Coturnix japonica: one gene and its partner. The protein of the gene in region 1 purifies or fractionates together with the protein of each later gene. This does not show direct contact. Links are inferred from orthologs where the notes say so. Each region holds a gene or a part of one and is shown on either strand. Other genes may lie near its edges.

Region 1 (4,344 bases):
GAAGCATTAATAAATTAAACAGATGAAGTTGAGCACCTTGTGTTTATCAGCCGGAGCACGCAGATTTTACTTACCATGTTCAAGAATCTACTACAAGTCTCATCAGATCAGTATCATTAACAACGATCCTAAAAACATCTGAAGCAGCTCCAAACTGAAGTGATATTTGCTGTTGCTTTGACAGCACAGGCCCTTCTCTTTTGTGCTGCATTACTCCTGATTAGGGCAAATCATTGCAATCACAGACCCAGCACAGAACTGCTATCTACACAGTGTCTCAGGACAAAGAAGCATCCCAGCTCTACACCAAGCAGCAATAACCAAGCCATTTACTTTTAAGAACCAGCACAGAAGAGATAAATGAACTTCAATACCCACATGAAGCAGAAACAGCAGCAGGACCCAAGCTGAGGCTCACCAACATCACATAAGAGACAACACAGGCTGTCGGAGATCAGTTAGACATAGACAGACATCAGCAGTTCCCATACACTCATTAATGATTAAGGCAATATAAACTAACAGCTACAAACACACGTGGCTCAAAGCCCTCACTTTCCTATTAATGCTCTCTCACACATATAAAAAACACACCGGCTACAGCAGACTCTATGCAAAGTAAGAAGTTAAAAGAATTCTTACAGCTCTCCACAGCATTGTCGAATTCCTGTCCACCTTCCTTTCTGAAGAGGGGGAAAGTATCTGGCTGAGGAAGCCGGTTGGCTATTACAAGTGCCTTCTGCATCTTGATTCTGCCTTCCAAGATGTGATCCCACAGTGCTTCGTAAGAGAAAGGGGGGAAAAAAGAAGTTATTTCACAAGCCAAAGCACCTGCTCCTTCCCCATCCTATCTGTGATCCTGACTGCAACCCTGAGAACCACAAAAACTCCGTTGTCTTCACTGGTTAGAATGGACTTGTAAATGGACAGTGGTAACTTGACTGAATAGACTGGAAGAAACTTCAGCATTTGAAGAACGATAGCAGATAGCACCACAGCACAGAACTAACAGTGTAAAGTCCCCCTTCCCACCCAAACTACAAGTACATTCAGTGTGGGTTCAATTAAGCCAGCAGAGAAGTATACTCCATAATATGAGATTTTGTAGGAGCGGTGATATCAATGTGCATAGCACGTTTAGTGCAACATCTGCAAACAACACAGGCTGCTGTAGCTTGCACACGCACTGCACCAACAGCAAGTTAAAATGCTGCAGTGTCTCCTGTCACGGGCAGCGTCTGTAGTGTCAGCAAGGTGAATCTCATCAAAACACACAGCAAACATGCACTAACCCAGCTGATTCTTCACCGCTTTTCCTTTTTCCACTTCATCGCTCGCTTGTCCTTTGGAGAATGTCATCACCCCCCCATCATCCTCATTGTCAGTGGCGTCTTTTACGTGGTCATGGTTTTCCCCCTCGTATTTCTCATCATCGCTTCCTTCTTCCATGCTGGCATCATCTTCATCTTCTCCATCACTGCTCCCAACATCATCCATCCCCTCTGCAAATTTCTCAAAGTCTGTGACATTCTGGAAACTGAACTTTGGTGCTTTGGCAGAGGAATCCCTCCCATCATCTTCCAGGTTATCCTCCTGCTCACTGCCAGCACTGCTGGGTTGCTCCTCTGTTTTACTGCCCAAACTGCCATTGTCTTCTGAATCTTCACTGCCGCTGTACCACTCATCTAAGGCTTCTGCAGCTATTAATTCAAAGAGAAAAACATCTGTCACTCTGCCGTATGCAACAACGATGGGTACTGATCTGAGCACTAAACTTGGTTTAATTTTTCATGTTGACCAATTAATGATAAATAAGTAAATGAGTCTATACCCAGGAAAAGATCTTAGTTCTTATCTTCTATAACAATAATTAGTGACATGGTAATCAAACGGGTGTTCATAATTTGCTTTATGTATCTGTCTTTAAAATGAGATGTGCTTGCAGTCATCGAGATATATTGGCCTTAAAGTGACAACTACTTCTTTCCCTTCACACAGCATTCAGCCTCACCTCAAGGTTATTCCCAGCCCCTCCTCCTGAAGAAGGAGACCTCAATGGGGGATTTCCTTTCCCTTCAGATCAAAAAACATGGCCTGAATTTCAAGAAGGCACCTCAAAAAGACGCCCAACTTATTTCTACCTGTTTATAACCCCCCACCGTGGACTTAAAGCTTCTCATCTCAGTTGAGACAGCCCTAATTTGGTCTAGCATGCCAAAACTATAAGTATCCCAACTAAAAGCATAAAGAACTAAGATTCCTTACCAGATCCTTCTTCAGACAGCGCATCTCCCCACAGCTCTTCCCTCAAGGCTTTCCGAGATGTCGCTTTCCCACTGTACCTTTTATCAGCTTCTAAGAGGGCGGCCGAAGCGTTTCTCCGTATCTTACCAACAGGTAAAACTTCATCTGCAGCATCATCCTCAAACCTGTCGATCACTTTAGCAACTGTGGCTGTAGGAAAGGAAACAAATACATAAACAGAACTGAATTTCAGGCCAGAAATCGCCGCTTCTCCCACCCTCCCGCACACCTCAGGCCGCAGCTTCTCATTAGGGCCCACCCGGTACCGTGCCCCCCCCCCACTCTCACGGCGGCGGCTCCACGTGCAGCCTCGGCCCGCAGCCCAGTAGCCTCCCCCATCCTACCCCAGGCCGCCCCCCGCCCACACGGAGCCCTTCCCCGACCCCTTCTCACCTTCCTCCGCGTCATCCTCGGGGTCTCGCAGGTCGGGCCGGGGATTGAGCAGCTCCTCCAGCTGCTGCGCTAAGGGCGCCGCCATCTTGCCGAGCGGAGGGGGCGGGGCCTGGCGGCGCGCGGGGCCCAGAGGGGGCGTGGCCTAAAGTGGGCGGGGCCTCATAGTGGGCGTGGTCTCAATTGGGGGCGTGGTCTCCGTCGAGCCGTGTCCGCCCCCTCTCGTTCTTTGTCCGCGTTAAAGTACGCGGTGGTTCGAGCGGAAACAACCGCCATAAAAGAACCGAAATCCACCATCCGAACCCCCCCCCCCCCCCCCCCGGCACCGGGCTGACCCGCCTCCATCGCTACTGTCATGAGAATTCATATGTGCTGAGTGCTGGAAGGCACGAGAATGATGGGCTCTTACAGCACAGCTGTCCTATATAACTCAATATATATCTATATATCTACTACTTTTCTTCCCCCCTCCACCCCCAGTCTGCACACCCCTGCCATGTGAGCAGTGGGGGCTGTAGGGCACTGCCCACACCTGGCACGGCTCTGCTGCATCCAGCACCTGCAGCTTCGTGTGGGACCCCAGCAAAGCGATGTGGGATAAGTGACCCCCTCCCAGCCCCCAAACACAACGTATCACCTGGAAATGGTGGCTGGGAATAGAGGGCGGTGCATCTCTTGTGGGCAGTGAGAACGGACCCAGGTCGGCACCTCAAACGTGAGCTGTAGGTGGGGGCTTAAAGCTCCCACCCCTCCAGGAGCGGCCCCAGGAGGTCTATTGGGACCCCTTGTTTGGGATGGCACCGGCAGGTTTGTGATGCTGCAAAGTTCAACTGCATCGAGCAGGCGGTTCGTTCATCCCCTTCCTGCCAGCACACGGCTCGCCCTCACCACTTCTCTGCTTCTGAATGTTACAAAGATTAATCCCGACATGCATTCTAATTAGAGCACGGGAAGGCTCAGGCCAAGCCCGGCGCTTCTCCGCGGCTCCGGGATCCAGGTTGGTTCCCCCGAAGCAGGAGCGTTCAGTGCAGCCGCTCGTCCTACAGAGGGCAGAGGAATATCATTAATTACGGGCCCGGCGGCTCCCGCTCCCTGCCGGCCCGCACGGCACCCGCAGGAGGAGCCCGGGGGGCACTTCGCCCCTTTTCCCCCCTCTCCGGTGCCCTTCGGCTCCTTAGGAACCCGTGCATTACCGTCTGCTGCTGCGAGGACTGCATCTCTAGTTATATAGAAACTCACTGGAAACACACGTTATCATCACAAACAAAACCCCTGGATTTTATGCAGTCAAGTATTTACGGTTCCATTTCAACTTTATTTTGTATTTATTTTCTCGTGGTCTGAGTGACAGCTCTGATTCTCTGCATTATATTTGAGGTGTTTTATTATATTTGCTGTTGCTGCCGTGATGTGAAATTAAGGCTCTTCCACATACGTTACAGACGTTTCCAAAGCAGAAGGTGCAAACCGCCATCACTTCTGCATTCTTTTCCCCCTCCAAGTTCACAGCCGTGTTGTTTCCAGACTAAACGATGCCGTTACAAACAAAGGGAGGAGAAATAAATCCAGAGGAAGTGAAGGAGCAGAAACAAATGCTTACCTGAGCAGCTCCTGAGACGTACTCAGCCAACCACAGAACCACTGGCCATT
Region 2 (4,402 bases), on another chromosome or scaffold:
ACTGAGCAACCACAGAGCACTCTCCTACCCCACTGCTTCACAGTGGGAAGAGAACAGAAGGGAGAACTGCCTGCTATCACGCACTCACACAGCACTCCCCAGAAAGAGCAGCAACTGTAGACAGAAGATTTCTCTTACTAACAGCCACAGCTTATACTAACCTTCAGAATCTAAGCACCTTTCAAATTTCTGGGATAACTGATAAGTATCGTAACAGCGGATCCTTGGTTTGTAAGTTCCTGAAAGAAGAATTTGATTTTTAATAAAAGCGTTAAACAAAAAGGTAACATTAACCCTTTTATAAAAAATATATGATGTTTTACGTATATATTCTTCACTACGTCTATGTTTCTGTGAACGAAAAAGAGGCCTCTTAGTAACAGAACTTAACATTACCTTCCAGTAAGACTGAAAGACCAAGCCTCGTGACATTAGGGCTACTGAAGTAATCATGTTAGGATCTCACTCTAACAGTTAACAGTTACAAAATGTAGCATTATCCTCTATCCTTAAAAAAAAACACTCAGTGATACTCAATAGTCATTTAAAGGAAGTTTGTACCAGAAGGGGTTTATACTAGACATAAGAAGGAACTTTATCTCTCAGAGAGTGGTCAGGCACTGGAATGGCTGCCCAGGGAGGTGGTGGAGTTGCCATCCCTGGCAGTGTTCAAGAGGTATCTAGATGAGGAGCTACAAGATGTGGTTTAATGATTTGCTGTAGCTACAGTAATGGGAGGATGGTTGGACTAAATGATCTTGTAGGTCCTTTCCAACCTTGTCATTCTATGATTCTACGATTTATATTCTATGAACATACTATAAAAACAAACAAGTTGTTGTTTTCATAAGATTGGTATTCTTCTAATACAGCTGAAAATTAAGCGTTTCTCAACCTAAGTACTCAAACACTCATTGCATCACATCTTAAGAGTAGGATTCCACAATTACATTCAATGCTTCATTAAATAAACAAAACTAAAAACCCTTTATCTTCTACCTGTCATATTCTGTGATAAAACATTATTAGTACTTTGGCCTCTGCTACCACGGGATCCTTAGTTAACTCACCAACTGCCATAATATACTGTCCATCTCTTGATACCTTAATCTTGGTGCTAATTGTGGGCATTTCAAAGTCTTGAATAAGTTCAATTCTTCTACGGATATCTACAAAGGAAAAAGAAATACATATAAAGTCAGATTATTTGTAAAGCTAGTACTATTATCAATCCAATAATGAAATCATTTCTTATATGTTGAGTTTCTTGTATGTTTATTTCTTGTATGTTGAGTTCACTGAATAAAAATGAATATTTGTTAAGATACATCTTTGTCTTTTACATAGGCCAGGAGAGCAATGCAGTACACTAACACTGAGATGCCAGCTATCACCATACCAAATAGATGTCTATAATGAGGTGCTAACCATGTGACAAATTATACCTCACATTCACAAAACAGTCACACATTCTACACAACAAAGATATACAATACATTCCATCACGCTGTTACCTCCATGAATATTTTTTTAGTTGGCTGCTTTACACAGTGCTCATGATGGTATGTAAACATCTCCTTTGATATTGCAAATTTAGAGTAAAATTTAAAGGTTGAGGGAACTGGGCTTGTTTAGCTTGGAGAAAGCTCCAGGGAGACCTCATTGTGGCCTTCTAGTACTTGAAGGGAGCATATAAACACAAGAGGGAATGACTGCTTATGAAGGTGGACAGTGATATGACAGTGGGGAATGGTTTGAAACTGAGACAGGGGAGGGTTAGGTTGGATATTAGGAGGAAGTTTTTCACTCAGAGGGTTGTGATGCACTGGAACAGGTTGCCCAGGGAGGCTGTGGATGCCCCATCCCTGGAGGCATTCAAGGCCAGGCTGGATGTGGCTCTGGACAGCCTGGTCTGGTGGTTGGCAACCCTGCACATGGCACGGGGCTTGAAACTGGATGATCATTGTGGTCCTTTTCAACCCAAGCCATTCTATGATGATGATGACACGATAAAATCACAGAGCTGCCCTCTATGCTGAGCTTAATACATACACAGGAGTCTACAGCTAGATTTGATCATAAAACATTTGTGGGATGCATCCACCACACTTGTATTTATTAAAATAAGTTGTGCACGATTTCCTTGAGTCAGCAAACTGCCTACTCCTGGATTAGCACATCAGATGTGTACAGCCTTGTTCTGCAGAGGGCTGCGATGTGAAAACTCACCCACATCTTTCTTCTGCAGTGCTCTTTTCTTCCTGTCTGAGAGCCACTGTAAGGAAATACAGGCATCAGTATCCACATTATAGCACATGAGTAGAATCAGAGAACTGTTATAGTTTAGGATCTGCCTGAAAGATCACTTCTTTCTTCTTAATTACATTAAAAATCCCAGTAGTAAGAATAATCATCCCACTTTTCAGTATCTAAAGGGAGCTCATAAACTGCTGGGAGGCAATTCTTTACTGAGCGGACCCTGGGCAGCCTGATCTGCTGGGGGAACCCAGCCCACAGCAGGAGGGTTGGGATGGAGGGGCTCTGAGGACCCTTCCAACCCAAACGTGATGAGATTCAACGAGAAAAGAAGTAGAGAATCAGTGTTCGCAGAGCGGGCTGCGGAGAAGCCCACACGTCAGTCCCGCCCCCCCTCAAGGCTCCGTGCCGCTCGGGCTGCCCCCTCACCTCCGGGAGGCTCCTGCCGGCGCTCAGGCTGTAGATCTTCACCTCGTTGAGGCTGGAGACCTGCATGGCGATCCCACACACCTCTTCCGGGCCGTAGGGGAAGCGGAAAGCCGTGCTGGGCTCCGACCCGGCAGCACTCCGTAGTGGATGGGCGGTGCTGCTGGCTGAGCTTCCCGTTCCCGGCCGGCTCTGAAAGTGGGCAGGCACCAGGCTGGGGGGTTAGGAGGAAAACAATATATCCAACCTGAACCTCTCCTGGTGCAACTTGAAGCTATTACCTCTCATCCTATTTCTGTCACCTGAAAGGTGAGGCCAAATCCACCTCACCACAACCTCCGTTCAGGTGATTGTAGAGAGCGATGTTTCCCCTCAGCCACCTCCAGACTTTACAATCCCAGTTCCCTCAGCTGCTCTCCATAAGATTTATGCTCCAGTGTCTTCACAGCTTTGTTGCCCATTCTCTGTGCACTCTCTGGGGCCTCCATGTCTTTCTTGATGCTTTTAATTATGTATTTCAGCAAATATAATACCAATATCACCACTTCCCGCTTTGCGTTAGAATTGAGACCATAGCTGAGACCAGAACACCTAAATGTAGGTGTCTACATGGGTACGATATATCAAAGCTCCCATTTCAGGGAGCTAAGGCTTCACTCACCTAAATGTAGATTGTCTGGTGGCATTTGAGCTGCCTCGTGGTATCCAGGACACCTAGATGGGGTGACACAAGACCTGTGGAAAACCCATGTGCTATGTGGCGTGAGCTGGAAGACATCTCAAATGGCACTAGAAGCTCAGGCAGCTGAATTGCATACCTAGTTAATCCCAGTAATGAAGCCTGAGGAGCAGTGTGGCACAGTATCCACCTGGTGTCTACTTCGGGGTGAATTCAATCTGTTTCTAAGTTCTACCAACTCATTCCTAAGACTGTCGCTAGGTGTTAACAGACATACAAAGGCTGAATCCATTTGCCCACATATTAGGTGCCTCTTGCAGTTCAGGACTTCTTAAGGAATCCCAGACATCCTCCCCAATTGTTTGATATGACACAAGGACACCTCAACAAGGTCAGGAGGACTGAAACAATGAAAAATTCCCAGAGGTTTAAAACCCATGAAGTTCTGAAATACTGAGGAGATACATGACTTTGGGTGAGGAAGGATTCCTGATCCCTTCTTCAGTACTCTAGGTATATTTCAGTGACCATACAGCAGACAAAAAGGAATAAAATACCTCTGTCTACAAGTCTGAATCTGAGTGATGTAACTGAAGCTCTGACAAAGCTTTTTGCTTTATATGTGCCCCAAATATCTGTTACATGCAATAGTAACACTTTTAGGCTTTCAGTTCAGGTGAATAGAGTTGGGCGGTTAGGTGTATTGACTTCAAATAAGAGTGATAAAGAACATTTTCAACAAGGAGCACATAGTTTTGCCTGCTTTTCCTCGTTTTATAGCATGAAAATTTGCTATTGATACAGTGCTTTGAAACAACATGATGGTAAGCAAAATGGGGGTAATCTTTACTTGTTTTTATGGTACTAAACAACGTCCATTCATAGACACACACACACATGCAGCTAAGGAATTCTAGCAGAGATATATTGTATAGAACCTATAATGTATAGAACCACAGAATGGCTTGGATTGGAAGGGACCTTAAGGATCATCATTAGCCATGATCAGGTCATGTTACGAGTTCCTTTGCTGAGCTATTT

What was found.
Region 2: the proteins of AATF (region 1) and NOL10 purify together in Homo sapiens (affinity purification with mass spectrometry; 4 studies listed by BioGRID and IntAct, counting the BioPlex papers as one, with this or other methods). This does not show direct contact. The link is inferred for Coturnix japonica from reciprocal best matches to the Homo sapiens genes AATF and NOL10.

Annotation. Positions count from the first base shown.
Region 1 is NC_029534.1:7,138,683-7,143,026, reverse strand, and holds the start of AATF (protein AATF), read right to left. Parts: upstream 2,834-4,344; 5' UTR 2,783-2,833; coding exon 2,698-2,782; intron 2,455-2,697; coding exon 2,266-2,454; intron 1,701-2,265; coding exon 1,293-1,700; intron 781-1,292; coding exon 643-780; intron 1-642. UniProt on the Homo sapiens protein: Part of the small subunit (SSU) processome, first precursor of the small eukaryotic ribosomal subunit.
Region 2 is NC_029518.1:88,402,098-88,406,499, forward strand, and holds the start of NOL10 (nucleolar protein 10), read right to left. Parts: upstream 2,820-4,402; 5' UTR 2,752-2,819; coding exon 2,686-2,751; intron 2,276-2,685; coding exon 2,230-2,275; intron 1,170-2,229; coding exon 1,071-1,169; intron 240-1,070; coding exon 162-239; intron 1-161.